Astyanax mexicanus: one gene and its partners. The protein of the gene in region 1 interacts with the protein of each later gene in a biochemical or structural test. Links are inferred from orthologs where the notes say so. Each region holds a gene or a part of one and is shown on either strand. Other genes may lie near its edges. The genes, in order: mitogen-activated protein kinase kinase kinase 11, mapk8ip1b and map2k7.

Region 1 (7,586 bases):
AAAATAGTTTTTACTAACCATGAAACATCCAGAACCTTAAAGGATCTGCTGTTAATGTGGGTCACAAGAGCCGGAGAATTTGTTGTCTGAGGAGTGTTGCCGCTGTTTAAACTCTACAGCTAACTTGTTTCAGGCCTCTACAGCACAGATGCTGTTTTATACCCACATCAGTTGTACTAATGTAATTAACCTCAGTGAGTGAGTCACGCTCTGATGACTGAGATTAGCTCCAGATAATTGCTGGTTTTTGCATTAATCCGTTTGGGAAAGTCGTTAAACTGCACTACGCTAATCCAGCTGGAAAATCACATGGATGTGTGGTCTGGCCTTCTGAAATGGTTGTGTGGTGAGTGTGATATTATTTTATGATAAACACTGTATAGTGTTTCTTTAAGACAGAGCTCTGTTTTGATTGGTTGTGCCTCATTTAGAAAGCTTCAGGAGCTGAAACTCTTCTACTAACTACCGCGTGAGTGGGGCTAAGTCGTGTTAAGATGGAAAAGTAGGAGATGTAAATTAGTTTGCATTTGTGACATTGCAGAAACTAGCAGTTTTGGGAGTGTAGTTTCCATATATGAAGTGTATGGATTGTACGGAATCAGTATATTTACACCTAGATTTCTTTTCTTTTTTCTTTCTTTCAAATTTTCCATTATTTTACCATCATTAACATTTTACATAAAACTGAGTAGACGTGTCTAAATTCACAGGTGGTTTTGGATAGAAAATATCATGGATATTTTTGTGTTAAAGTCATGGTGACCTTTATGGTTTCTGTCAGCACCACGTTGAAGAAATCTGAAACCAGTCCATTGTTAGTTAGCAACACTAGTATTTCAGTTATATTGGACTATGATACTATATATACTATCATTTTTGTAACATAATTCCTCTGCTGAAGAATCAAGCTCAGGCCAGATTTTGCTGATAGATGGGTTTTGATGGCCTAAGCTCGTCTTTAATGTTCAGTTTGGTCTTTATATCTCTCATAATACTGTGTGTGACCTTAGTTCTTTCACATTCTTTGGCTTTTGTTTCTGTGAGAACTGAAGTGTTTCTGGCTGTTCTGCCAACATAAACTGCTGGAAGTTCTATCTATTCTCCTATCTTCTGCCTTCTAGTGTAATTTATCACCTTGTGCTTAGGCCAGAGTTTCACTTTTGACAACTAACAAACAGCAATTTATACTTAGCCCATATTTTACTGTAAAGCAATGTAAACACATAGCTGCTGAACTCATGTATACCTGGCTAGTTATTACTGGAGCCAGTGACAGCTCACTCTGGTAACCAGTAATTTACTAGGTCTATGTTTTACAGTCATCTGCGTAGATGTCTAGAGTAAATGGTTGAGTAAATCCACTCTATTGAGGACAGATCAGTACTGCAGGCAGAATAGTCCAGTACCTGTACCCTTGACTTCTAGTCATGCCATGGCAATGTGTGCAGCATGCTGTTTTGCATTGTCTTGCTGAAAAATTATTGTACGTCTCATTAGTCGAAAATGCCATTTTATGTATTAAATGCACTGAGAAAACTCTATCATTACAGACCATGACATTTGGGCTTGTAGCTGATAACAGTCTGAAGCACACAGTGTCCATTTCTTTCCCAAAAGATTTGAAATACTTTTTACATGTAACCAGAATACACATTTCCACTGCATGATCACGGCATTCATCTCCAATGCCTCAAAGCTCAGAAGGCGCCACTTCTAGAACATTTTCACATAAGGCTTCTGTTTTGCATTAAGATACAGGAATAGATAAACATAAACAAATGAATTAAAGTTGACCAAATTTTGTGCAATGTGCATTCTCCACACTGACCCAACTTTTTCAGATTTGTGGCTGTGATTGTTACTTTCCAGGGTCATAATTTATTTAAAATAACATAACAAAAGAGAACTTTTGCTACATTTGAGTTTTTTTAATTAACTAAACTGCAGATACAGATAATCTGTATTTACTGGCCTATTGTTCATGTTTACCTTGAATTGACAGACACACAATGAAATAGTGTGAAACTATAATAACACTCAAAGAAATACTGAAGCAACAAAACAGTTGTGTCTGTTGTCTCTTGTTAATTTCTGCAACAAGACTCAATCATTAATGTGTGTGTGTCTGTCTGTCTGTCTGTCTGTCTGGGTGTGTGTGTGTGTGTGTGTGTGTGTGTGTGTGTGTGTGTGTGTGTGTGTGTCGGTGTGTGTGTGTGTCGGTGTGTGTGTGTGTCGGTGTCGGTGTGTGTGTGTGTGTCGGTGTGTGTGTGTGTTCATACACGGGCCATTCTCTATCTGTTCCTCTTTTTATATATTGTAACACTCAGGGCAGCTACTGGGCCACAAAAACAACTGCATCCTTCCTGAAGAAATGATGACTCAGCTGTGTGTGTGTTGTGTGTGTGCGCGTGTGTGAAAGAAATAGAGAAAGAGTGAAGATATGTTCTTAAAAGAGAGGGAAAACATAGATTATTTTAAGGGTATTAATGGTACTTTAAATAAATAGTGATATTAAATAGTTTAATAATAATCAAACATTGATTCTATTGTAATGAACTGGGAAGCTTCCAACTCCTGGTGTTTTGTAGAATGTATAGATGAGTGTGCACTATGGGAATCTTATGACTATAACTATGGGTTCAGTGAATGATTTGGGATTCACCCTCAAAACAAAGGGCCACTGTGGAAAGCCATCAAAGCATTCAACCATGGAGAATCAACTTTTTCTCCAAACAAGAAGAGTCAGACACAGCCCCCTAGTGTCTTGGAGAGCACTGGTCTGAGATCAGGTGTGAATAAATTGGTTTATGTGTATTTTTGGTATGCTAAGGGATATTTGTGCTATTGGAGTCAAGTGGGTCTGCTAATGTTTCATACTGAACCATGTACTGACTTTCAGGCATTTGCGGGTTGTTTTAATAAAAAGTGGACTGTATTAAAAAAGTAAATAAGTTTGAAAAAAAAAACAAGTTCTGGTCATAACTTATTACACAAGTTATTGCAGTGTTTAAAATGCTTCAGACATGTGTTTGTAATGTGTGCAGCATGTGGTTTTGCATTGCATTGCTGTAAAAAAGCATGGATGCCCTTGGAAAATATGTGGTCTTAGGGGCAGCATATGTTGCTTTAAGGTCTCAGTGTACTTTTTTATTCATTAATGCTGCATCACGGAAGTGTACTGACTTACTTATACATACATATTTATGACAATAGCCAATCAAGATATGTCATAACAGTGCCTCTACTATGTATGACTCTGTTAACTGTTCAATGATCTTTGTGCCTGTCAAAATAGAGAAACTTTCTAAATGGGTAATATGATATTTCTGTTAAATCCCTTTGATCCCACCTTGGCCACTTATTAAAGTAATATAAATAAGCTGAAGTACAAAAAACACAGTTTTAATACTTATTCACGTGACTGTACATATTTATCTGTATTGTGCATTATATACCGTAAACATATTTTCTATTTGCTGTTATCTGCTTGGTGATCTGAAGTAGAGATTACTATCTATAACTTGAACAACCTGAAAACTCTCAGCTCATAACCACAAACACAGTAGTTATAAATATCGAGCAACACCAGAGCGCGAATTACACCCCCTTATTAATACTTAAACCTCCCAAACAATAGAGAGCTGTCCAGGTATAGGATCTGTATTTTCTTTTTCCATTCTTGAATAAAATATACCTGACTTTTTGAAAATGAAATGAGGTAATTCATAAATTTGAGTTTTAACAATGCTTTTATACACTGAGGTGATGAAATTTGCTGTTGAATTTCAAAATAACATATATATATATATATATATATATATATATATATATATATATATATATATATATATATATATATATATATATATATGCATATGTCCCCCCCCCCCCATTTTAGCTAAAATATACATTTTAATAATCAAAAATTGCACACATCTGAGAAATGCTGATATAATATATTATATTTTGGCTAAAAAATCGAGAATTTCTCATATATCTTAATGATGATTTTTCTTGATTTTGCCCATTTGAAAACCTCTGGAATATAATCAAGAGGAAGATGGATGATCACAAGTCATCAAACCAAGCTGAACTGCTTGAATCTTTGCACTAGTAGTAGCATAAAGTTATAAAGTAGCATAATGTTCATTTTACTCAAACATTAACCTATAAATAGCAAAATCAGAGAAACTGATTTAGAAACTGAAGTGGTCTCTTAATTTCTTTTTTTTTCCTGAGCTGTATTTTTATTTTATTTTTTACAATATCCCCTAGCCCTTATATATGTACTTTATTTTTCTCTATGAATAGAAAATGTAACGCAAGATTTCCAAATCAAATTCATGATTAAAACTAATGTAAGAGAGACCATAAAAACACAACTTTTTTTTTTTTTAAAGTTGGAGACCACGTGACCATCACTGCTCAGCAGCAGGTGCGCGCGCAGCGAGCGCTCGTCTCGAAGCAGCGCCTAGGGTTTGGAGCTGTGGTGCTCTAGTTAGGACGCGAGTGCGCGGATTGGACAGCGGCCAGAGTCAGAAAGCGAAACCCCACCCTCCGGACTGCGTACTGGCAGCAGCGGCGCAGAGCGGAGCGACTGTACGGAGCCCGGGGGGAGAGAGCGCGCGGAGCGGCGGGGCTACAGCGGCGGAGACACACGGGACCACACACCTGTTTAAGGGCTGAGGAGGTGAAGAGCCGCGCGGAGCCGCGGAGAGAGAGCGGGGTGCGGACCACCTCTGTAAACAGGAGCGAAGTGGAGGAGGAAACTCTTCCTGTTCAGAAGAAGTCTGATCTGAGGAGTTCCAGCGCTGAGAGAGAGGAGATACAGAGAGAGACACTGTGAGTCTGAGGGTCTGTGAGGAATGGAGAGAAGTAAGACTGGGTTTTACTGCGTTTCACAGAGTTTTTAAACGTTTTTAAAAAATCCTGGTCTCTTATAAACTCTTTTTTCCTCTCTCTGGCCCCCTCTCTCTCTCTCTCTCTCTCTCTCTCTCTCTCTCTGGCGCGCTCCTTTCCTGCCATTCTTCTGCGCGCCTCTGCGCTTCCTGCTCGGACTGACCAGAGCACTGGACGACTAAAAATACTGACAAGTCAAAATGGACAACTAGCCACATGCTCCCCTGCTCCTCACCTTCATATTTATCCTGAAGATTTAGTTTTTGGATTTGTGGATATCCTTATACTCCTACCGTGTTGGACTTTGGACTCCATCAGTTTATCTTCTGTGAGATTTGAATGGTCAGCAGATCCTGGACCTGTTTTTTTGGTTCTGAAGTTATAAATATAAGGCTAAAGGATAAACAATAAACACCCTCTCTAAAGAGCTTCGATAAGGCCTCAAATATGAGCAAACTTTCTAGGGTAGTACGCTAAATCGTATTTTTATCAATATTGTTTTTATGAACTCCTTGAATAGCTCCTTGAAAATTGCACTACCTGCTTGCAGCAACAGAGGCTAGTGCTGTATGATAGTGTATTTTTAATTGTTATTCTGATACACATTTTTGAACCAGCTTCGATAAAGCCTTGAATATCAGCAGAATAAAAAAAATTGCATTACCTGCAGACTGCTATGTCTGTACGATAAATCGCTTTTTAAAGTTAATCACAATAAGAGATTTCACGATAAACACCTGAGGCAAACAAACAAAAGAGCTGCGATAACTACTTAAATAACCCTGAATTGCATTGCTTGCTTGCAGCAACAGAGGACTGTACGATAAATCATATTTTCTTCATTATCGCAATATGAGTTTTTAGAGTAAAGGGCTGTGATAACTTTTTAAATAACAGCAAACCCAAAATGCTTTATCTTTGTGCGGCACAAGAGGGAGTTCTTCCTGTTACAGGCTAGTATGATAAATTAGATTTTTAGCATTATCGTGATATGAGAGATAAGGTTTATCGTAAGAGGCCCGATTGCAGCCAAGCCAAGTGCCAGAAACTAGTTTAATGGGATACACAACGGTGTTATCACACATTGTGTTTTTTGTCTATATTGGGCTTCCGTATGTTCCTCCATTCCTCTCCATGTTCTTTCAGCTCTGTAAGAAGCAGAAGCTGAAGTGAGCTCAAGTACGTAAGTGCATGGAGACCAGTTGGTGTCCAGGTTCCAGGTTCTCCCACACACAACCCATTCTTTGGTTAACTTTCTTTTGGCCTAAAGCCTGACTAAAGCCTGCCCCAAACTTCCATGGAGCCGTAGGCCTGTGATATCCATGTCCACAGTTGTTGGGGTGTCATTGTGGAGTGCTCTGGCTGGCGATGGCTGTGTGACCTTGCACTGCTTGTGCTTGAAGCTGGATGCAGAAGGCCCTCATGAACCTTCCAGAGGGGTCGCATCGGGAGAGAGGCGACGGGAAGTACACAGTTCGACAAATCAAGTCGCCATTTAAACCACGTTGTGCACAGAGAACCACACATGGAGCCGCTGAAGAGCATATTTACCCGCGGCCCTCTGGTGCCCTGGAAAAGCCTGCAGGACTCTCAAAAAGGGAGCTTCAGCAACCCGGTGTGGACCGCTTTGTTCGATTATGAAGCATCAGGAAAGGATGAGCTGACCCTGCGCAAGGGAGATGTTGTGGAGGTCCTGTCTTTGGACTCTGAGGTGTCTGGAGACGAGGGCTGGTGGGCGGGCAAGGTGAACAACAAGGTGGGCATCTTCCCCTCCAATTATGTCTCGCTCAAGCCCAGTGGCTATGGTAAACTGCCCCCTAGTGTGGGCGACGTGGCCCACGAGCTACAGTTTGAGCCTGAGGTGGTGGATTTTCGGGAGTTGAGCCTAGAGGAGGTCATAGGGGTTGGAGGCTTTGGGAAAGTGTACCGGGGCACCTGGAGAGGCGGGCTGGTGGCCGTCAAGGCAGCTCGGCAGGATCCGGATGAGGATATTAGTGTGACTGCGCAGAATGTGCGCAACGAAGCAAGACTCTTCGCCATGCTTACGCATCCCAACATCATCGCCCTCAAAGGGGTGTGCCTGCAGGAGCCCAACCTGTGCCTCATCATGGAGTACGCTTCCGGTGGGCCGCTGAGCCGGGCCCTGGCCGGCAGACGCATCCCGCCGCACGTCCTGGTGAACTGGGCCGTGCAGATCGCTCGAGGGATGCTGTACCTGCACAATGAGGCCATAGTACCTGTCATCCACCGTGACCTCAAATCAAACAACAGTAAGTAACCCACATTGCAAGCTATTGTCTGTGTATTGTTACTGTGATATTGGGCTTTGTGATGCACTCTATAGGGGGATCTTCAAGTTCTTAAATGTAGTTCAAGCGATAGGTGTAAACCATTACATTCACACTCATTCACAGAGTCAGAGTTGGTGTGAAATGGTTAATCGTAGAGATACTCACTTTGATTTCCTTACAGTGGTGCTAAAGGTAGCCAAATCTGGAAAAATACATCTTAATAGAGAACTATTTAGCCTTACAACACCCTGCAATAGTTCAGCCACTATGAACAGTTTAGGCCAAAAACTTTTCAGTACTATGGGAACTTAATGCCTCAGGCACCAGGCACAATATTCATGACTTTTTGTGCAATAACTTTGTGAGAGAGCTTTTCAGGGCATTAAACTTTTCAGA
Region 2 (7,025 bases), on another chromosome or scaffold:
CACTTTCCTGTAAAACTGAATTTTACTCACTGTCCTGAGCTAAAGGATTGAACCAGTGAGAAAACACTGTTAAAATTCAATCCAGTTCAAACAGCTGGAAACACAGCTGTATTATCTGGAGCAGACAATCATGAGCAGATTGGCTTCATGCCTAATGACAGGTATAGGCCAGAGAGGTAAAAATGCCACAAAATGCAATCAAATCCTCACAGCAAGGCAGAGCCAATTATAACAGAGCTTGTTTACATGTATTTGAGCATTAAAGGTATAGTAATAGAAACAGTATAACAGTCTATAGTTTTTTTTAGATTAAGGATAAAGATAAAGATAAAGAATTGTCACTATCATCACATCATTATTTGAGAGTAAAGCTGCACCTGCAAATAGTTATATTAATTATATATATAAATAAATACATACATTTAAAATAGGATGCAGAATTTGGGGCCCTTGGTGCTATAAATGATTTGTTTAGGTTGTGACTCTTGTTGTGATGGAATGTCTTCTTATTACTGGGTATAAAAACAAGGCCATTCAGCCTGAGTGACCCTGCAGAGATACTGTATATAGACGGAGCTGAGCAGATGCCCGTGTCTGGGTGAACGCCAGGACGTGGAGAGCTCTGAAACGAGGCCTTCTGTAGTTTATTACAGTAAGACTGCAGGATTAGACCGTACACAGGAAATGCACATTGCGATTAAACTCAGAGACTTCCAGAAACCGTTTGATCCTGGAGTCTAACTCTGCACAGTAGATACACTGTACATGCCGTTTACTTTAACTCCAGTACAGAGACAGATTCCTTCAGAACATTTCTAATTAATATCCGGCCCCTAGTTTACCCAAATCCTGCTGTAGCAGGCGGTTCCACTGTTACATGGCGTATAAGCTTCAGGCTGCCAAAACACATGAAGCTGATGGTCCTGCAGAACTGCTGATCGCTTCAGTGCACCTCGAATAGAGCAAGCATGGATCACGGCAATTAATGACCTCTAAATTTAAAAGCATTTCACTCAGAATCTATAATTTAATGGTACAAAAATAATCCAGCATCATGCATTATTCTGTGGGACGCTTAAATAAGAACTTCAGTTTAAGCAGTTTTACTCTATAGGGCAAAATCTCTGCACATCTCACAGCCAAGTTCCCAACCCCACCAGTAAATTTTTCCACAAACATCTTTGGTTAAATAATTATGCTAAATGCTTCTAAAATGCTCCAATTATATGTGAGAGCTATATTAGCTCTGGCTGCCAATATGACTGAAAAACGATCAATATTTAAAATATTTCATACTTGATAGTCTTTGACAATAAATGGCGATATTAAAAGGGGTTTAAAAGAAAAAAAATTAAATAAGGTGTAAAGGCCTAGAAAGAAAGAAAGAAAAAATAAGGGAAGATAAAGCAGAGGGGAAAAAGGGGAAGGAAGAAAAAGAAAGGAAGACAAAGGGGGAAGGTAAGAAAAAGAAAAAAGGGGTGCTGGGTTGTTTTATTTTGTTTTGTACATTTATTTTTTTGTCTATTATTCCTGTGCTTTTATACTATATATTACTTATTTTTTCCCTTTTTTTCTTCCTCAATAAAAATATATATGATGGCTATGTAAATAGCAAATAGATAACTGTGTATTTAAGTAATACACTTAAATATGTTTTGTCCTTATATTTGATGTTTTTACAACATTTACACTAATCTGTACTCTACAGATCTGTACTCTACTCTGTTATACCTCCAAAACACCACTACTCTCTACACAAACAACACATGTTTGTTTTTTTCCTGGAATTAATTTGCACATTTTGAACAATACACAATATACTGTCAGCCCTAACATCAGCCATAGAGTTTAGGGATTTTACTATTTTATTTTTAGGCCATTCATTATTAATTAGCTAGCCTGCATATGCACTGTTTTCAGTGTATAATGTGATTGAGAATGTGGAGAACCTTCATTTTAATTTATGCATAATTCAATTACCTGTAAACAATGCATTATGTACAATGTACAATATAACAATGTATAACACCACTTCAAAATCATCTGGATGAATAATTAGGAGGTAAACAAAGTAATGTCGTAATGAGTTTTTGGTGTGAAATGTTCAGTTTGTAGAGAAATGTACTGGCTCAGTAGCTACTGTAGTGGTAAATTGAACCAGTCTCTACTACAACAATAACAATAGTAATATATCTATTTTATTTTCCATTTAAACCCACCACTAAACCTACACTATGGGCCCTTTAACACTCCTACTCCAGTATTTGTCAGTTCTGGTGCTGGCATCCCCCGACTTTGTATTTTTTCAGCATTTTAGTGTTTTCTCTGCTTTAACCTCCTGCAGCTTTGACTGGGCCATGAGCTGATCAGGTGGACCCAATTTGGAAAAATACCTTTTTTTTCCTTAACAATGTAGCATAAACTATAAATCGCCATTTCAGTTCAGTATCTATTTATTATCTATTATCGGCTACCTCAGTCACATAATAGCAATATTCATTTTCTTAACACTCTAACAATAATCTGCACTGTTATCATTTATTTCTATTGTATATATATTTGTATTTTTTTATATATTTTTTTCTGCACTGTACCAATCAAACCTGCATCTCATTCCAAAAACACTTCTCCCTTCAAACTTCTGCCTTATCTGCCCATCCCAACAGCAGAGACACACCCATACAGCCTGCAATCTGCTTCCATACACCACCACAAACACTCACACACCCCATAAACCGCCTGTACTCCTCTGATTCCTCCCTTATCAGCGACCCATCGCTATCAACAAGCAGCTGCTACAGCCCAGGTGGGATGGCAGCAAACGAGATGGGACACACACACACACACACACTTACACTTAAACATACTACACACACATTTATCCCCGCAGCAGCAGCGGCTTCTCACCTGCAGCTGGCCGGGGAGTCGAGGCGCGGTGCCCGGGAGCTGGACGCTGCTGCCGGGGTCTTCCTCCGCTCTCTCTCCGCCATGCCTTCCCTCTTCCCATTCATCTGGAGGAGCAGCAGCAGCAGCTCCGTGGAGGGAGGAGGAGGAGGAGGAGGAGGGGGAGCGGGAGGCAGTGAGGGCTGCGGCCGGAGGGAGGGGCTGCTGTCTCAGCTCCCGCTCTCCGCCTCTCCGCCGGGGCTCTCGAGGTAAATATGAGGGACCGTCAGGGTCTAAACAACAGCTCCAGCAGTCTGATCAGCCCGCGCGCGGAGCCGCAGCTGAAACTCCCTCAATAAATACACAGCTGTTTACAGAGGCAGTCTGGTGATAAGAATGTTAATACAAATAAATACGTGTTAAAGAAATATATATGTATATATTACAATTTAGTAAAAAATAATATGGGTGAGATCGCCCCCTGCTGACTAAAAAAACATTAAATTTTTATCATTTTTTGATTTCATAACAGAAATAGATTGGAATTGCTGCACATTATATCAGTGTATCATTGTTTTAGTGTTCCTGTGTTTCAGTGTTTCAGTGTTCTGGTGTTTCAGTGTTCTGGTGTTTCAGTGTTCTGGTGTTTCAGTGTTCCAGTGTTTTAGTGTTCTAGTGTTTTGTTGTTCCAGTGTTTCAGTGTTGTGGTGTTTCAGGGTTCCAGTGTTCTGGTGTTTCAGTGTTTCAGTGTTCTGGAGTTTTAGTGTTCTGATGTTTCAGTGTCCCAGTGTTTCAGTGTTCTGGTGTTTTAGTGTTCTGGTATTTCGTTGTTCTGGTGTTTCAGTGTTCCAGTGTTTCAGTGTTCTGGTGTTTTAGTGTTCTGGTGTATCAGTGTTCCTGTGTTTCAGTGTTCCGGTGTTTCAATGTTCCGGTGTTTCAGTGTTCCAGTGTTTTAGTGTTCCGGTGTTTCAGTGTTCCAGTGTTTTAGTGTTCCGGTGTTTCAGTGTTCTGGTATTTCAGTGTTCCAGTGTTTTAGCGTTCTGGTGTTTCAGTTTTCCAGTGTTTCAGTGTTCTGGTGTTTCAGTGTTCCAGTGTTCTGGTGTTTCAGGGTTCCAGTTTTCAGTGTTCTGGTGTTTCAGTGTTCTGGTATTTCAGTGTTCTGGTGTATCAGTGTTCCTGTGTTTCAGTGTTCCGGTGTTGCAGTGTTCCAGTGTTTTGATGTTGCAGTGTTCCAGTGTTTCAGTGTTCCGGTGTTCCAGTGTTTTAGTGTTCCGGTGTTTCCATGTTCTGGTGTTTCCGTGTTCTGGTGTTTCAGTGTTCCTGTGTTTCAGTGTTCCAGTGTTTCAGTGTTCCGGTGTTTCAGTGTTCTAGTGTTTCAATGTTCCAGTGTTCCATTGTTTCAGTGTTCCGGTGTTTCAGTGTTCTAGTGTTTCAATGTTCCAGTGTTTCAGTGTTCCAGTGGTGTATTAGTAATTTATTTTCTTTAATTGTATCCATTTTCTACCCAGTTTTGGAAGGCCAATTACCCCACCCCTTCTTAGTTCTCCCCATCACTAGTAATGTTCTTCCAACACTAGAAAGGTGCGGACAGATGCACACCCTTTCGGCTACATGTGAAGTCAGCCTCCATGTCCAGGTATACAGGTACCTTCCAGGTATCATAACCAGGTATCTAGTGTGCTTAAAAAAAGGCCCAACCAAACTCTGATGCATCAGCTAACAGACGCCTCTACTGACCAGGATCACAACGGGAGTGATGAGGGGAGAGAGCCCCACCTACTGTACCCACCCAGAGAGAGAAGCAGTATGATCTACTGTACTCTCTCAGACTCTGGCTGCTGATGGGGAAATAGCATGATACAGGATTCGAATCGGTGATATATATAACAAATAAACATGGTGAGAAACGTAGTAAAAATTATAATCATATGCATTTTAAAAACATTCAAACTGACACATTAGTCCTAGACCCTAAACTGCATCATAAACTAAAATATGACACACAATCTACAGCATGCATTAATTTGCTACATTTATCAAACAGGAAAAATCAGTCTTGTGTGTCTGTAATGTTTTTAAAATGTGTACATCATTACATTTTTATAAATACTACGACTGCTGAGACTTGAACTCATTATTATTGATGATTGGTGTATGAGGTAATGTTTCTGTGTGTGTGTGTGTGTGTGTGTGTAAATAAATAAATCATAGCCTGGGTAGAGGGAAGGGTGTGGTAAAGTAGCACAATGACATAAAGACCCCTCTCTCCACACACAAAAACACAATCTCATACACACACACACACTGTGTTTTGGCAGATAGATGAGCCCAGTCACACACACTGTGCCACTTCTCTGTGTATGAGTCCTCTAAATGCCAAGCAGAAACCAAGTTCAATTTAAGTGTGTTTTTTTTTTTTTCAAATCTAAATATCTGGACCAGTGTCCGCACGCAACTTCATGTGTTTGTTACATTCTGTTCATTTGGTCCTGTTAGTCTTATTTTTACACTGCATTTTAGTGAACGGGCTAAAGAATTTTACTACATCTTGTCGTCATCAGTCACAAGGACGGAGTCTCTTTATACTTTATATTTATGTGTTTGTAGAGTGTTTTTATGAGTTCAGTGAGTTGCTTTCCCAGGTGTTGTGGCGAATTCTAGCTCTCTGTCAGAATCTGATTGCTCTTTACATACACAGGCTCTCTGCAGCAGCATGTGTGTAAAAGATAATCCTCACTTTCATTTCTGCTGCTAAATAAGGATTAATCTACTGTTACAGTAAATAAATTAATTCCCAGTCTAAGCGTTTGTGTTCATACTGCTGCATGACCGGACCCAGAGCACACCTTTTGCGTGAAACAGTGGTCTGATAGTGGGTGCAGGTGAATTATGGGAGTTGTAGTGAGTGACTGATAGTGGGTGCAAGAGAATTATGGGAGTTGGAGTGAGGGCTGAAAGTGGGTGCAGGTGAACTATAGGAGTTGCAGTAAGGGGCTGATTAATTGATTGTTTAATTTGGTTTGATTAGTTTTGGTTTTACACTGACTGCAATTTAGCGAGCAGCTTAAAGAGCTTTGATAAGTAAGTTCGGTGAGTTGCCTTTCCAGATGTTGTGCCAGAAACCGCAGCAGAACCAGTGTAAAAGGTTCTCCTTGGATTCCTTTTATTTCTGTTTATAAATAAGGGTTATTCTACAGTTACAGTATTCTACAGCATACAGTTGTAGCCATACTGCTGTGTGACGCATCTGCACATATCCAAGAAGAGATTTCATCACAACACCTTTTCTTTTTCTTCTTCCATTGTAAAATGGGTGACGCTAGCTTGACTCAACTTCCCATAATTGTTCTGAAAGTAAACCACCCGAAACATGAAAAGCTGATCTGGACCGACAACGCCTTTTTTGGTCAGACCAAATTTTGGACCTACTATTGCACTACTATCGCCTGATTTTAATTCAGATAAAACTAAAAAGTAGATAGGTGTGAAATCAAATCTCTGAAGTTACAGGACTTAGGATTTGCTGCTTATGTCTTGATGCCAGATACAACAGAACTCCTTCAGAGGCCCAAAAAAAAGCCTGAAAATTGATGCCGACAAAGTGATAATTTGGCTTGTGTACATTCACATATAATAATCGGGAGGATATTTTAAGAGCTCTCTGTTCTGATAAAGTGACTGTCTATTACATAAATCCTAAATCAGGGGCCTCTGTGGACGTTCACCATTTGAAAGCTTTTATTGTGTAACTGGATTTAGTGAGAATCGTCACAGAACGTGTAAAACTGAAACACTGACGTGACTCAGTGATTTTGTTGTTGTCAGGAATTACACTAACGTTATGTAAAGTAAATGAGCAAATAAATCCTCTGAGCATCTGTCCTGTTACTGATGGGGCAGCATTAGTAGGGCAGCTGTCTCTGAGACTGAAGCACAGAGTAACCGGTCTGATTCCGGGGTTTTCTTTAGTTTTGGAACTGACTCCTTTAAATCTTGTCCTTTTAGTGTATTACTTAAACTGATTCACAAATCTGAATAAAAACAGTTTTGCAGTTTATATTTTGTATGTTTTATTGAAGAATGTAATTTTCCCAAAGTAAAACAAATACAAAAAAATAGCAAAAATCAATGAAAAATGGTCT
Region 3 (7,975 bases), on another chromosome or scaffold:
CTTAATAAAGCAGTTCTTAATTTGTGGAAAAAGCTCAAGACATGCCTCCTTGTTTCCTGTACTGTCTGACTTGGACTCTGCCACCTAGTACACATTTTTCACTTCATGGTTTCATTATGTTTGCAGACATTTGAGTGAATGTCTGCATATGCATGTCCAAACACATTTGCAGATATGTAGGGACAGCAGTAGAACGGAGCTTTCAATAGGCATAAAATACCAAATTCTCCAGATACCACTACCTTTCAAACCTGAACCATTCACCTCTAAGCAAGTTGTGCAATCTCAATTTTTGCTTTGGAATTGTAAGAGTTTTTGATATAACGCGTCATCGCCATCTTTTACTTTCTTTCAGAATATGGATTGGGAGGCTCTTCTCCTTCGCAAACTCCCTCCCCCCTTCGTTCCTTCCATCGGAGGAAAAGAAGACGTCAGCAACTTTGACGAAGAATTCACGGCGGAAGCTCCTGCCCTCACACCGCCAAGGGAGCCTCGCACGCTCTCGCGCAAAGACCAGGACAGCTTCCGTGACTTCGAATACGTCTCCGACCTCTGTTGAAATTCTCAGAAGGAAGTTGTCAGAGATATCAAAGGTTGTACAGTCCAGGAGTCGTCCAGGGATGTTTATTATCTCTTTGACTGCGATCACGGCGGATCTGCACCATTACCACTACACTGTGACAGTAAAAGTTCGGCCATTGTGGATGGCTTGGTTTTTTTTTTTATGGATGCCAGAATGAAGATTGAAGAGACTACTATAGCTCAGTAAATGTGTGGAGTTTTTGTTTTTACTCTGGGATGGAGAACGGATTACGCTAATGAAGAGAAAATATTTAGAGATGGAGATTATGTGGACTACTCATCAAGAGAGGGGATGTAAAAGGCTGTCTGGCATATTCTCAATATAACGATAATGACACATAGAAATGTGAATTTCAGCTGAGAAAAAAAAAGAAAAACTTCAATGTAGTCTTTCTTATACTGCCTCTTTCTGTCTCTCACTTCTGCCTTTCACGTCAAACAAGTTCATCAGTAGAAGAACGGGACAGCAAGCAGCTGCCATTCTGACCTGGCCCAGTGACACTCGTTTACACACTGTGATTTTGGATTTTGAAAATGCCTTAACTTTATACTCTGTCCCTTTTGAGAATTTTACGTAGAATCTTTTAAGTATGTTAGTCAAAGGAACTGAAAAAAGAAGCCTTGAATGGACAATGATGATGAAGTGATGTGATGATGAATGAATATATATATATATATATATATACATACAGTACGGAGAATCATGAGGTCAAGATTAATACAAGCTAATGCTACGTACACTGCTTATACTGAAAGGTTTCATGTTTGAGAACAACAACAAGAACAACCTGAATATGGAATTGTGCCCACATTTAGGATTAAATGGGTTAAAGAATGACCATTAAAGGTGCTGTATATTATTCTGAAGAACAATTCTTGGTGTTTGAACCAAACTGTTGGTGTGCAAAACAAACAAACAAACTCCTCCCTTCAGGATGTTCAGAAATCTTGCAATCTTTTAAATACCTCACCAACGTTTACACATGCCGATGCCTTTCCCAGTCCTCGGCGCACACTTAAATGGCCCCTAATAATGTCGTGTGGCCCATTTCCCATTTACAAAGTAAGGCACCAAAATGTCAGAATCTTTTCCAACACATAAACAGACCAGGGAGTTAGGGAACTGTGAGGAAACATTCGCTGAATTATTTAAAATGTGTATTGGTGTATTAAAAATCGTATACAGTGCCTTTAATGGTGAGATTCAGTTTAGTACATTGACAGAGCATCTCTGAATATTGTTCTGGATAAGTTTTAAGCAAGTACTAGACACTGATTCAACACTTTTTTAAAGGCAGAGCCCTTCAGTGTTTTTCAACTTCAGCTTAATCTGCTGCATTGTTGACATTAACAGTCATTTTGATGCCTTTCCAGTAACCCTAAAGATCAGCTACAGCACATCTCTTTATGTGTTCGTCAGTAAAATTAGTAAAACGTCTAAAAGATTTTATTCTCTTAATATTATTCTAGCTAGTCAAAATGTGAATTATAGAGTTTTCCCTTCTAAAGTCTCCATTGCTCCACCAGCTGCTTGTATTTAGTAAAACTGAGCCGGATCGTCTTTTAGAGGCTGTACATTTGACATAAAGACGCGTGACATGGCCAGAAGAACTCCAGCGAAAAGCGACCAGACACCCAGTTTTTAGAATGAATATATATTAGGCTTAGGGGGGATGGTTGTTCCAGCGCACTGGTACCATTTAATACAATATTTTACCCCTTCTCCACTCAGAAATGCTTCAGCTTTCAGTTGAGAAACAAAATAATACGGACTGCCACTTTAAGTATTCTGTTACAAGGACACAAAGTCTCATTGATGTGGAGCACCACAATCAGTCTTGCTAAACATGCGTGAGTGAATAAGTTACAAGCCATTAGAGGCATCTACAAAAATGTTGCATCTCCAATATGTCAACTTTACCAGTTCCTAACTGTTCAAAGCTTTTTTTAAGGTAATTTTGTATACATTCATAGTTACGTTTGGAAAACTATATATATTATATCAATATGCAGATACAAGCTTTAGAAAGGCATTTAGATTATTGTTGATGGTGACTATCAAAGTGGTGGATAAAGAATGAATTGAAAACAAACTACTGAAGGATTTATTTTAAGAGTTGGACCTAATTAACTTTAAAAACTACAAGGCTGTGTAATTTCTGACAGAAACTAGGAAAGGAGTATAAATGTTTCAGTTTGTTTTGGTGGAAATTAGTCCCAATATTGTTTTCCTGTTTTAGCATTTTAAGCCCATTTTATTTAATTCTCTACTTTGAAACACTGGATTTTGCAATTTGTCATGAAGGGATTAATTCTGCAAAATAATGAAAAATCATACTTCAATACCACAAAAAATGAATACACTGATAAACATGTAGCACAAACTTTAATATGAACTTTGGCCTCCAAAATCAATGTCTGTTTATTACCCATCTTCGAATCAGAGACGACAACACTGCTTTTATGTGGACAGTAAAACTGTTGTCCGATTTTCCTGTGGTTTGCAGGTCAGTGTTGATGAATTGGTATGACTGTGTCCAGTATACTATTATATTACAATTCATCAGAACTCTGTGTTGAGCTGTATTTATAAAGACTTGTTGATAAGACTGCTGTGTTTGTGTGTGTTATTTTCTTATGTGTGTGAATTTTGGCACCTCTGTCATTTTGGATTTACGTTCCTGAGTAATCTTTTTCCTGGGTAAAGTTTTATATAAAATAATGAAATATCAGTATTGTTAAATGATTGTAAAAAGGCTTACATATCAAAAACAATATGTGGCTTGTATTTAAGGTAGGTAATAAAATATATAGGATAAATGAAGCTCTATACATTTTAAGAGGTTTAAATACTTATACAAATTTGAGCAATATTTGATGTCCAAATTTTAGTCTGTAAAATTGTTTCCATGAACTGACTGGAATCAAATTATTTATTAAAGAAAAATGTCCAACACCAAATGTAAAAGGACTCGTGGATAAAGAAATCACCAAAAAAAAAAACAGAAAATGGGTGGAAAAATAAATAAATAAATCTCCCAAGGAAATTCTCTTGGAAATGGTTAGGATAAGAAAAGGAGAGTTCCTGACAACTAGTGACAAAATTAAACAGAAAACAAATAAAATGAAGAGAAAAATAAATATTGCATGAAAATGGGTGGAAAACAAATATTTTTTGCAACAAAACAAATAAATAGGTGCAAACAAAAAAAGGGTTGGGGAGAAGAAATGAAAAAGAAATAAAAAAGGGTGGAGAAGAAGAATATCTTTGAAAAGTTACTTTATTTCAGTAATTCACTTCAAAATGTAAAACTCATATCATATAGATGTATTACACAGAGAGTGATCTATTTTAAGTGTTTATTTCTTTTATTGTTGATGGTTATGGCTTATAGCTAATAAAAAACCCAAAAGTCAGTATTTTAGAAAATTAGAATATTATATAAGACCAATTGGTACTTTGGCAGTGTGTCCTGCTGGAAAATGAAATCAACATCTCCCTAAGTTGTCAGCATCTGGCACTGCAGAATTTGACCTAGGATCTGGGTATACAGTCGTACACACATTCACATCAGTGCAATTTAGAGTATCCGATTTAGCGTAGGAGGAAACTGGAGTGCCCGGAGGAAACCTACGCGCACACATGGAGAATATGGAAACTACACCCAGATTGTGACTTGACCCCAGAACCCCAGCTCTGGAAGCTGAACGTGCAAACCACTAAGCCACCATGCTGCCCCATAGAAGCTGTATAATAACATAACATATTGTGAAAATATTGTTTTGTGATTATATTGTTCTGTTATAATATCGTATTTTGATATTGTACCGTACCATTATATTGTATCAAGATTATATTACATTGTGATATCGTGTTGTTGTAACATTGTATTGTGATAATATTTTATTTTGATAATATTGTATCGTGATAATGTTGTATTCTTAAGATATCATATTAAGATAATATTGTATAGTAATAATATTGTGTCGTGATAAAATTGTTTAATGCTATTAATATTGTATTGTGATAATAATATTGTATCGTGATATATTGTGATAATATCTAATTGTGATATGAATATCTAATTGTGATATTAATATTGTATCGTGATATATTGTGATAATATCGTATTGTGATATTAATATTGTATCGTGATAACAATATCGTTTCGTGATAAGATTGTATAGGGATAAAATCGTATCGTGATAATAATATCTTATTGTGATAATAATATCGTATCGTGATAATATCGTATCGTGTGGTTCCCTGCTACTGAATCGTTGCACCCTTTACAGCAGTGTGTGTGTTGGTGTGAGTCGGTGTGTGTTGCTGTCCTCCAGCACCGTCGCCAGGGGGGAGTGTATGTGTGTGTGTGCGAGTTTTAGAGCCGGGGCCGCTCGATGGTGCTGCTGAATTTTTCCAAGATGTCGTCGCTGGAACAGAGACTCTCCCGAATCGAGGAGAAACTGAAGCAGGAGAATAAAGAAGCGAGGAGGCGGATCGACCTCAGCATCGACATGAGCCCACAGCGCTCCCGACCCAGGCCGAGTAAGTGTCCGGAGGAGACTGCGGAGCCGCCGTGGTGGAGAGAGAGGCGGAATCGGGGGGAGCAGCGTTAGCTTAACCAGGCTACATAAACAAACACGGAGCTCTGATCAGACTGACAGCTGGTTAAAGACCTGGCAGAGCGCGGGCGCTGAGTAGAGCCTACTGGGTACACATATATAAACCTGTAGGTGAAGAATAATAGCGGAGAATGTCTAATTCGTGGTCATTTCGCTAGCTAACCGAGCTAACTAGCTAAATAACCGTTAGCCAGCCAGCTAAGTGACTGACTGACTGACTGACTGACTGGCTAAATTGATTAGCAGGCCCGCGTCCCAAGCCTCACAATATGACTCCAGCTAGTATCGTTAGGTTAGCTAGCGTTAGCTGGCTAACTGAGGACTTTAGGATAACGTAATATCTGTATAATATTATCAACTCTGAAAATTAATTTTCTGTAAATTCATTTTGAATCATCTGTGTGGCAGCGAATCCGTTTTTCGCTTCAGTTTTCTGACCCTTCTCAAGATAGCCACTAGCTAGCTAACCCCAGCTAACGAGACGCCTGACATAAACCTGGTAACGTTAGCTACCATGCTAATGCTAAAAACGTAACCTAGTAACTAACTAGCGAGAGAGTGCAGTTACTGTAAAAATAGAAGAGTATAAGAGTGCCCAAAAGCTTCTGACTAAATATTGGGGTCAAAAACATTTGGTTTAATGTTGGAGTCCAAAAAACATTCGAATACAAACAACGTTTGGCTGATAGATAGATAGATAGATACATACATACATACATACTTTATTTATCCCAAAGGAAATTTAGGTGATAGATGATATGAAATGATAGAGCTGTGTTCTCAATATTTTGGTTGAATGTTAGAGCCTAAAAGCATTGGCTAAGTGACAAAATGCACATATGTGTAGTTAGTATAGCTGTGTGAACAAGGTATTAGTTAGTTGGGGTCAAAAAACATTTAGCTAAATGTTGGAGTCCCAAGAACATCTGGTTAAATGGTGAAACATATATGCATATGGTATATAGAATTGTGTCTAGAAGCTTTTGGCTCAATTTTGTATAACAAAAACATTTGGTTAAATGTTGGAGTCCAAAAACATATGACTAAATAGTGGAATACAAAACAAAACGTTTGACTGGTAACATTAGAGCCGTGTTCACAATATTTTGGTTGAATGTTGAAGGGTGAAACGCATATGTTTGTTTAATAGAATTGTGTCCAGCAGCTTCTGGCTAAATATTGGGGTCTAAAATCATTTGGGTAAATGGTGAAACACATACTTTTGACTAAATGTTTTAGATCATTAACATTTAGCTGAATTTTGTTAAATGGTGAAACATACATGGGTTTATTTGATAGAATTGTGAGGCAAATTTTTGGTTAAATGTTCAGTAAGTAGAAATGTATCCATAAGCTTTTAGCTATTTATTGCGGCCCAAATGGTTTGTGCAAATGGTGAAATGCAGATATGTTTGATTTGTATAGCTGTGTCAACAAGTTATTGGCTAAATGTTTGGGTGCAAAAACATTTAACTAAATGTTGGGGTCAAAGAACATTTGGTTAAATGAAACCAATATGTTTTGTTAATATAATTATGTCCAGAAGCTTTTGGCTAAATGTTGGAGTTTAAAAACATTTGGTTAAATGTTGGAGTCCAGAAACGTTTGACTAAATAACGAAATACAAAAATGTTTGGCTGGTAGAGATGTGATCACAATATTTTGGTTGAATGTTAAAGCCCAAACGCATTGGCTAAATGGTAAACTGTAGATATGTTTAGTTAGTATTGCTGTGTCGACAAGGTATTGTCTAAATGTTGGGGTGCAAAAACATTTGGCTAAATGTTGGAGTCCACTTCTGATGAATGTATTTAGCTAGCTACCGCAAGTAGCTGTACCTATTGCTGACACAGATGTGCAAATGCACACACGCCACAGTGTGTTTAGTTTGTGTGGAGAACTATTGCCAATGGAATAAGATTCTCTGCAGCAGATAAACATGAACCTATTGGCACCATGCCCAATACCAGGCATTGACAAGAGGGGTGTTAAGCCTCACAGCATTAAACTGTGTGGCAGTGGAAGAACTGTGTTCTCTGGAATAATAATTCTTTATCTAATACTTTTAGCATGAGTTGGGAATGAGGAACAGTGGTAATCATCAAACATGATCAACCCATTAGCCCATTAATGCTTGTGTCACTGATTGCTATCAAAACCTTACAGCAGATCTCCTCCTCCACCTCCAAAATCTAGAAAGAACACTTTCTTCCATGAACAGTAGAGACAGGTCAGTTACTGCAGCAGTAAGTAGTCTTCTAAAAGGCTTTCACACTAATTGCCGGAGCATTGATGTGAGAATTTGATTATGTTTAGCCATCAGAGCAATAGTGAGGTAAGGTGCTGATGTTATATGATCAGTTGCGGATTATTTGATTTATTCTGACAAATCTCAAAGGTGTTGGGTGAATTATAGAGGATCTACAAGCTGTTACGTGCCTGTGTCAGCAATTTGCAAACCTTGACAGTAGCTAAATTCAATAATGTGATACATTTGGGCATAAAGTTTATCTTGGTCTTGGGTAGGTTGTGTAATTATAGATAATATTTGATGTGTCTTCTTAAATGTAATCTGTTCTCTCTCTAAACGCTTTAGTCTGGTGTGTAACCTTCCGTGTGTTTGATATCAGCATTTGTTTACATATTTCTGAACATGGGCATTTGCACAAAGCTGTGCAGAACATTTAGGTCCCTAGGCGCATTATTTAAAAGAAATTTTTTAACAATAACATTTTTGCTGTAAACAAAACAGCTACAGATCACAAAA

The links.
Region 2: the proteins of mitogen-activated protein kinase kinase kinase 11 (region 1) and mapk8ip1b form a complex in vitro, tested with the Homo sapiens proteins (2 studies listed by BioGRID). The link is inferred for Astyanax mexicanus from reciprocal best matches to the Homo sapiens genes MAP3K11 and MAPK8IP1.
Region 3: of the proteins of mitogen-activated protein kinase kinase kinase 11 (region 1) and map2k7, one has a biochemical effect on the other in vitro, tested with the Homo sapiens proteins (2 studies listed by BioGRID). The link is inferred for Astyanax mexicanus from reciprocal best matches to the Homo sapiens genes MAP3K11 and MAP2K7.

The regions. Positions count from the first base shown.
Region 1 is NC_064432.1:18,604,488-18,612,073, reverse strand, and holds the start of mitogen-activated protein kinase kinase kinase 11, read left to right. Parts: upstream 1-4,549; 5' UTR 4,550-6,424; coding exon 6,425-7,169; intron 7,170-7,586. UniProt on the Homo sapiens protein: Activates the JUN N-terminal pathway. Required for serum-stimulated cell proliferation and for mitogen and cytokine activation of MAPK14 (p38), MAPK3 (ERK) and MAPK8 (JNK1) through phosphorylation and activation of MAP2K4/MKK4 and MAP2K7/MKK7.
Region 2 is NC_064423.1:8,535,934-8,542,958, forward strand, and holds the start of mapk8ip1b (C-Jun-amino-terminal kinase-interacting protein 1), read right to left. Parts: upstream 3,027-7,025; 5' UTR 3,012-3,026; coding exon 2,908-3,011; intron 1-2,907. UniProt on the Homo sapiens protein: The JNK-interacting protein (JIP) group of scaffold proteins selectively mediates JNK signaling by aggregating specific components of the MAPK cascade to form a functional JNK signaling module. Required for JNK activation in response to excitotoxic stress.
Region 3 is NC_064428.1:26,978,190-26,986,164, reverse strand, and holds the start of map2k7 (dual specificity mitogen-activated protein kinase kinase 7), read left to right. Parts: upstream 1-4,930; 5' UTR 4,931-4,983; coding exon 4,984-5,131; intron 5,132-7,975. Other genes in the region: pkn1a (serine/threonine-protein kinase N1), read left to right, coding at 356-559. UniProt on the Homo sapiens protein: Dual specificity protein kinase which acts as an essential component of the MAP kinase signal transduction pathway. Essential component of the stress-activated protein kinase/c-Jun N-terminal kinase (SAP/JNK) signaling pathway.